2 linked regions of the Oryzias latipes genome follow. The protein of the gene in region 1 purifies or fractionates together with the protein of each later gene. This does not show direct contact. Links are inferred from orthologs where the notes say so. Each region holds a gene or a part of one and is shown on either strand. Other genes may lie near its edges.

Evidence for each region.
Region 2: the proteins of kdm5a (region 1) and phf12 purify together in Homo sapiens (affinity purification with mass spectrometry; 3 studies listed by BioGRID and IntAct, with this or other methods). This does not show direct contact. The link is inferred for Oryzias latipes from reciprocal best matches to the Homo sapiens genes KDM5A and PHF12.

Annotation. Positions count from the first base shown.
Region 1 is NC_019881.2:6,890,374-6,894,027, reverse strand, and holds part of kdm5a (lysine-specific demethylase 5A), read right to left. Parts: intron 2,917-3,654; coding exon 2,766-2,916; intron 2,683-2,765; coding exon 2,562-2,682; intron 2,483-2,561; coding exon 2,306-2,482; intron 1,855-2,305; coding exon 1,676-1,854; intron 1,174-1,675; coding exon 855-1,173; intron 743-854; coding exon 182-742; intron 102-181; coding exon 1-101. UniProt on the Homo sapiens protein: Histone demethylase that specifically demethylates 'Lys-4' of histone H3, thereby playing a central role in histone code. Does not demethylate histone H3 'Lys-9', H3 'Lys-27', H3 'Lys-36', H3 'Lys-79' or H4 'Lys-20'.
Region 2 is NC_019871.2:27,109,583-27,113,236, forward strand, and holds part of phf12 (PHD finger protein 12), read right to left. Parts: intron 3,629-3,654; coding exon 3,184-3,628; intron 2,081-3,183; coding exon 1,960-2,080; intron 1,885-1,959; coding exon 1,752-1,884; intron 1,218-1,751; coding exon 1,053-1,217; intron 185-1,052; coding exon 41-184; intron 1-40.

The DNA of each region.
Region 1 (3,654 bases):
TTTTCGCGCGCTGCCTGCTCCACCATCCGCTGGCTGAGGACGGACAACTTCGCCAGCGCCGAGGACAGCTCCTCTGTAGCCAGAGATTGGCGCGCTCGATCCTGAAAGAGGAAAACGAGCTTTCAAAAAAAAAAAAAGAAAAACTATACAAATTAAAGACGGCAAATGTTTAGGTTTTGACCTGCCAGCTCATCGCCCTCTCAGTCAGACACTGCAGCGCCTCTCCCTCTGGGAGGCGCACTGGCAGCTTCTGTAGTGAAACCAGCAGGGACAGGATGGTCTCTAGTCTGGGTCTCCTTGAGCGCTGACACAGCGGGCACAGGAATTTTGACTCCTTGGTGTTGCTCTGCCAAGACACGCCCACTTTTTTTGGGGTTCCCGTCTTGGGCAGGGGCACACACGCTCCGTGGAACCAGTCTTTACAAAGCTCACACTGCAGCATGAAGCCGCTGGCCGTCTTGCGACACAGGCAGAACTTGACCTCCTCGATGCGGTCCGCCATCGCCATCTTTGCTAAGTTGGCGGCCCGGAGGGAGTGGATGGCCTCCACTTCCTTCTGTTCTTTGGCTTTGAAAGCCGCCACGACGGTGGACGGCTCGCGCACTTCTTCGAGGCTTTCCTCCAGGTCGCTGAGAGCGTCAGGATCGAAGCCTCCTCTCTCCTTCTCCATCAGCTCCTTCACTCGCTTCCTCTTGCTCTTGCTGTTGCCGTATATCCCGATATCCACTCGAGGACTGAGAACCTAAAAGAAACAATTCTAGATTATATAGTGATCCTGGATTTGCATGCTAGAGGCAAAAATCTCTTCTTATTTCTGTGACTTTTTTTTATTTCAAGAACATGAAGCTGCTCGCCTGAATCAGAGTGTAGGTGGAGTTCTTCTTCAGGAAGGTGCGAGCCGTCCTCTCTCTCCAGGCTCGGGCCGCAGCCACCTGAGACTCCACCTGAGCCAGCGGGTCCAGACGGACGGGGATGGAGCGACCCCTGGCCAGCAGGTTCTCCAGCTGCTCCAGGTAGGCGAAGCTGCTCCCAGAGTGAATGGCTTCCACCTTAGCCGTCCACTCCTTGGCCTTCTGCAGAGCGTCTCGCAGGGCTAAAATGTTGGGGAGATACGCCGGGATGTTCCTGGCCTCCACCACGATGCTCTCCAGGGTGGCCATGCTGTGGCGAGGTCTGAGTTTCCAAGAGGACAGACAGAGGGGCCAGGATGTTATTTTGAAGTTCAGAGCGACTATAAAGGCTTACATTCTGTTAACCAAAATATTATTTTTTTTTATAATCATATGTTTTTTTTTGGCTTTATGTTGCCATCAGTCAGAAACTATCCAACTTGTTGATTTTTAATAAAAGCAGGAGACAAAACCTGTATCCCCCCCCTCAAAATCAACACTTTAATGCATTTGAACCATTGACTTTATATAAGAACTGGACTGGGTGACCCCTCCCCTCTCAAATTCTAAACAGGAAGTACCCGCCGTCTCCAAGAAGCCAGAATCCCATAGACTATATTCTGTTGAGACTGTAAACAGCTATTACTCAGTCATCATATTTGTCACAATACCAATTCTTGCTCTGATACATTTTTTTTAAACTCGTTTGACAAAGATTTTCTATCATAGTTGCCTTTCACGATAAAAGCTTGGAAATGTGGCCTGAGTCGGTTCTGGCTGTTTACCTGGCCTGCAGACAGGCGCGGGCCTTATCCTCCCACCTCTCCGACACCGTGAGGACCTCCTGCAGCTCGGCCATGGCCTTCTCCACCGCGTGGTGAGGAGCGAGGCCGACCCCAGAGTCTATCAGCCTCTTCATCAGCTCCAGCGTGACCCGCTGGGGCTCAGCCAGAGTGACGTGGACCTGCGATTTAAGAAAAGAAAAACAGATTTGAGACAGAAAAACAAAGCTCTGAAGACCCACTCCAATCAAACTGGTGTTTGTGGTATTTCTAACATGTTCAGGTGTTTTTCTCATGATGGAGGACATATGCAAAGAAAATAAAGCTTTAAGTTGAATTTCTTTATATTTTCTTAATCAAATCGTTGTAAATCAGGATTTTGGCTACATGACAGCATAATCAATCAATCAAAAAGAAGACTGGGAATGCTTCTGAAACTGACGATCAGATCGGGACTTTAAGCTTGGGATCCATTAGAACTATAAAGGCACAACTTGAAGTGAAACAAACTAACGTAAAAAAAACAACAAAGTGATTTATTTGGTTTCCACTCCAGAACTCTTCCTCCACACATTTATGTATTTGTGAGTAGAAACGAGCGGCGAGAGCCACATCCGACGGAGGCGGCCTCACCTGGTCGAGCCAGCGGGCTTGCTGCAGCTGCTGCTTGATTCGGGGCAGCTCCGGCAGCTCCACATCCAGCCCACTGCCCAGGTCCAACAGCGCCTGCAGCTTGGAAGAATCCGGCATCTCCTCCGACAGAGCCACCTGGGCTCGCTCGTGGAAGTCCTCCACGTTCTCCAGCAGCTCCTGATGGCACAAAAACCGATCACAGGAAATGGATCGCAGGATCACAGAGTAAAACAGAATACTGAAGGAAGAGCCTAACTTTGACTTGTCGCGCCTGGCTGATGACACACGGCAGCTTGAACAGTTGGTCCACAAAGGCTTTGAGCTCGTCCACCGTCAGTTTGGTGCGATTCCGGCTGCTCTCTGAGCGGAGACGGCTGCTGGAGAAAGCGAGCAGGAAAACCAAGGCATCAAAAGTTGTTTTCAAACTTTCTCGTGAGCTTCTGTTCCCGCGGTAACAGACCTGTGCCTCTGCTTGCGGCTGAGTAACAGCTGAGCCACGGAGGAGCACGTCTCCGCCTCCTTCACGATCTCCTTCAGGCGGCGGAACGAAGCGTTCTCCGGATACTTCCTGTCCTCCGCGTCCTCCAGCAAAACCTTGAGCTCAATCAGATCTGAGGAACAAACCAAACACGTCACCACAAATACAGACTGGTTTATCAGGCCAGTTGACATGTTGGGTTAAAGTATTGAGGCTTTATTTATAAAACTACTGCCACTGATTTAAAAAAGATTTGTCTCAGATTAAAGGTTTTTGCTGTGAAATGATACAGACTGATTTTTTTCAGAACCAGCCAAAATACCTCAATAATATCAAGTATCATAAGAATAATTTTAATCTAATTCCTACTTTGATTCCTAAGGGATTGGTTTCCAAGCGAGGACCAGTTTAATATTAAGGAAGGTTTTTATGGACTGATTCTTAAAGACTCCAGAGAAAATTGTGTTTGTTTTTTACATTTTTCTTATGTTGGAGGATATATATGTATTTAAAATTAAGCTTAAAATTGCATTTCTGAGTATTTCCTCATTCAAATATTTTCCTGAACTGGGACCACAAGCCCCCCTGAGCTCTAAGCAGTCTCTGCTGATGAATTCCTGCTAATATGCAGAAATTATGGCCAAGAAAACAACAAAAATTCCCTTTTTTCAATTCCCTTCTAAAAAAAGTCGATTTTTAAATGTATAAATACAGACTGAGCCTTGGACAAAAATGTCACCTTAATTTTATGTTGGAGGGCTTTTTGCTGACTTTTACTTGGGTTCACTTTTGTTAGTTTGTTTACTTTTATCCCTGTTTTACTGGAATTTACCTGCTTTAGACTCCCTGTGCCACTCTGTCTCTGATTCTG
Region 2 (3,654 bases), on another chromosome or scaffold:
ACAAAGCAGGACCAATGACAGGCCCAGTGGTGAGGCGTACCTCTTGCTGCTCAGCTTCTGTTGCTAGCTGATCTGAAGATGCGTGATCAGAAATGCTGCTGCAAACCAGTTCCAACTGTCGCATCCCTGCAGGGAGCAGCATGGGAGGAGGATTCTGGTACTGCGACTTAATGGCATCGGGGACCTGGTACAAAAAAAACCCATCATTTGTCATTTTATTACTAAGCTTTGACAGAGTAAGAAAAACGCTCACATTAAGAGCCAACATAGGATGTCAATGCTTGGTCCATGACGATGGTACGGTCCGTGCACTTACATTGTTTAGCATAACAACACTGACACATTTTTAGTATGAATTTGTTGACAAAAAACATTCATGAGCATCACGTTACATGTTTACAAGTCTATAGTTCTGCTATGACTGTAAAGGCAACAGTGTTTTGACAGTTTACCTTTACATTTACACCAAAAAGATGAATGCTCCTCTTTTCTCCTCACTACTGGAAAGTGACATGTAAGCATAAATGTTTCCTCACAGTTCCTAGCAGACAACTTTAAAAGACCTCCCAGTTAACTAAAGGTGAACAGCAGGAACAAAGAGGCATCACAGGTTTGCTAGTCATCTTTTTGTTCAAGAACACCACTCGACGTCAAAGTTACCGCCTCCATTCCGTTTATTTTTTAAACTTTTGGGCTTTGTATGCTAGCCAATCACGACAGTTGACGAGTCCCAATGCTTTTAATTGACCAGACTACAACACCAGAAAAAGTTGAGGTACAAAATGAATTCCTTTATTCGTGCCTCCAACAATTGCTTTAAGTTGAGCAAAAACGTAAGTATTTTTTCTCTCTGGGCCTGAACCGCTTTCCTCTTTCTGAATTCGTTTTTAGTAAAATCCTGACTTACAAGTTTTTGTGAGCTGCTGTGAGTTAAAAAAATTTTTTTAAATGAAAAACAAATGTTGGATATTGTGTGTAGGAAAATATCGGTCCAAAGAAAAGAAAGCTCCACGTTTGGGAATCTCCAATCGTTCCCATCGACTCTCACTTACCTTGATGGTTTTCTTGATCAGCTGGGAAAAAGCGCGTCGATTTGGTGCGTTCTGCCGATGGATTCTACGAAGGAAGTCCAACTTGACTGCATGTTGGGACATCCTGTCCTGGAATTGGTCAAAGAGCTGACAGCGCCTGGACAGACTCAGGCTCCTCTGATTGAGCTGTTTAGTAAACAGAAGACTTCATATTAAATTGATATACGTTTACTATAGGCTTAAAGGGCCTTTATCATGCTTTTCAGAATAAACTATATAATAATATATTCCCTTTGGCACACTAAAGAACGAAAGAGAACACGGGAACTTTTGCAAAGATGGATGTTCATATAAAGCAGATGACTGGAAAGTATTTAGCCGGTCAGTGTGTGTGTGTGTGTGTGTGTGTGTGTGTTAGCCTGGGGGTGGTGCTGGCAGCGCAGACTCTTCCTGGAAAGGGCGGTTCTTCACGTTGTGATGTCACAATGTGAGAAGCTGCTCGTTTCCGTGGACCGGGAGAGGCTGGTGCTCAGAGAGCAGGATTTTAGATGAAAACTCCCGAATGCGTGACTGGATCAAAGTGTTTTTTGTGAGGAGTGAACATTTTAATACACTTAAAAAGTTGGTTTTGCATGATAAAGGCCCCTTCAATCTCATTTGATCATTAAATTTGTCCAAATCCTATTTAGAGACAAAAGGAAAGAGACCGGGGAATCTTACCGCTATATTCTCAACATGATTTGGACACATCCACCTGCCAGCAGGTAAGCCTGTAAGTGGGGGGTCAAGGCAGTCCATATGAAAGAGAAGTGGGCAATAATCACACTGGATCAGTGGAGCTAACCTGCAACTCCTATGGCAGAAAATACAGCACTATTAGTACAAACAACCCAGAGCAGTTTTGTCCTCACATGAACTGGAAACTCACTTGTTGCATAAAAAGCAGACTTTCACCGGAAGAGGGACGAGGCCGTTAGTATCCAGCTCGTGTTGAGGCCTCCGGAAGGGCTTTCCCAGAAGCTCCTCTTTTCTCCTCCGTTTACTGCTGCCTGGAAAGCAGTTTGAAAGGTGAAAAGTAATGTAAGAAGATGTTGACTGAAGACCGAAGCCGTCGATCTGTACGGTGGCCCTGAAGTGCAAGTCACTTCAACTAATTCACTGGATGCAAAAACATTTGAAAGATCACAACCACAAAAAACAAATATTAAAGAAAACAGCTTTACATTTTAGAAAGCAAAACAAAATTCCAGAAACGGAAAATAGAAAAACGGAGAAAACTAAAGTAATTTCCAGAAAACCAAAAAACAAACAAAAAAAAGTGAGAAAAACGAAACGGAATGAGAAATTGGAAAAGGTAGGTACTATGGGACATCGCTGGTTAGATACTGACGTTTGTCCATATTTAACAGTCAAAGTTATTAGACATGAAGTGATAATGGACATCATCATCATCATCCAGCCAGCCATGTCCCATAATAACCACCTTTTCTGGCTTCTCATTGGGTTTTTTTCAATAACAGTTCATTTTCATTTGATCAGAAACACAAACAAGAAAGAAAAATAATTATGATTTACAATTTCTGTAAAAAATGAGTGATCGTCGTTTTTAAAGTATTCTGCAGCCGTTGCTGCTTTCACCATAGCTGCTTTGTAAACTGCTGTTCCACTGAACATCGGGAGCCTTTGGCCCCACGTGGAGCTTAGGACCTGCATGTCGTTCTAAACTGTTGTATTTTATGCACACGCACGTACGCACGCGCACATACACACTTAAACCCAAACAAATACATGTCAAGAGAACACTAATTTAATCTCAAATAAATTCTGTTATGGCTCCATCTACTGGCTACACTAAAGAACTACAGGCCTTCCAGGAACACTGTACCACTTTAAAGTAGTTTGGTGTCACCATTGTGTTCAAAAAGGCACGACATTCAATTCAGAAAATATTTGTTTGTTGTTGAAAAGATGCCATAAATGGAAGAAACTTTAGTCAGACAAGTGCTGGAGACCCCTGGATAACACAGATTGCTTCAGACAAATGTAATACGTCTGAACAATGACATTTTGGTTAAGCAATCAGATGCAATCATTAGTTCTTTCAGCAATCAGACAAGCAAGTGTCAGATCTAACTGTGATGTTATGACTCACCTGGAAGAGCAGTGGTGCAAGTGAGCTCACTTGGCAACTGAAACTGCGTGGGATTTCGCTCCATAGCAGCAGCTATTAGGAGCTGGAAGGGCCTCTTGAGGAGGCGCGGCGTTGGGGCTAATACAGGGGCAGCTTCAAACTCTGCTCCCTGGAAATCCTCCTCAGGCTCGACCGTCTCGTCCTCCCCATCATTCTGATCCTCGGAGAGAGTCGGGGTAGATGAGGTGTTTGATGTAGGAGTGCCAGGCCTGCTGCAAGTCTTACGGTCCAGAAGGCGGACCTGGGCCACCCTCAACCCGGGGCCCGCAGCACCAGCTCCTGGGGGAAGTCCGTCAAGCCGCAGTGGGCCAGCACTGAGCTCCAGCTCCACAGCGGGAGACGAAGAGCATTTAGACAGAGACTTTTCCGGCAGGCCGTTAGTCTGCTCAGACTTCTGGTCCCGCTTCTGCCAAAAACAAACAAAAACAAACC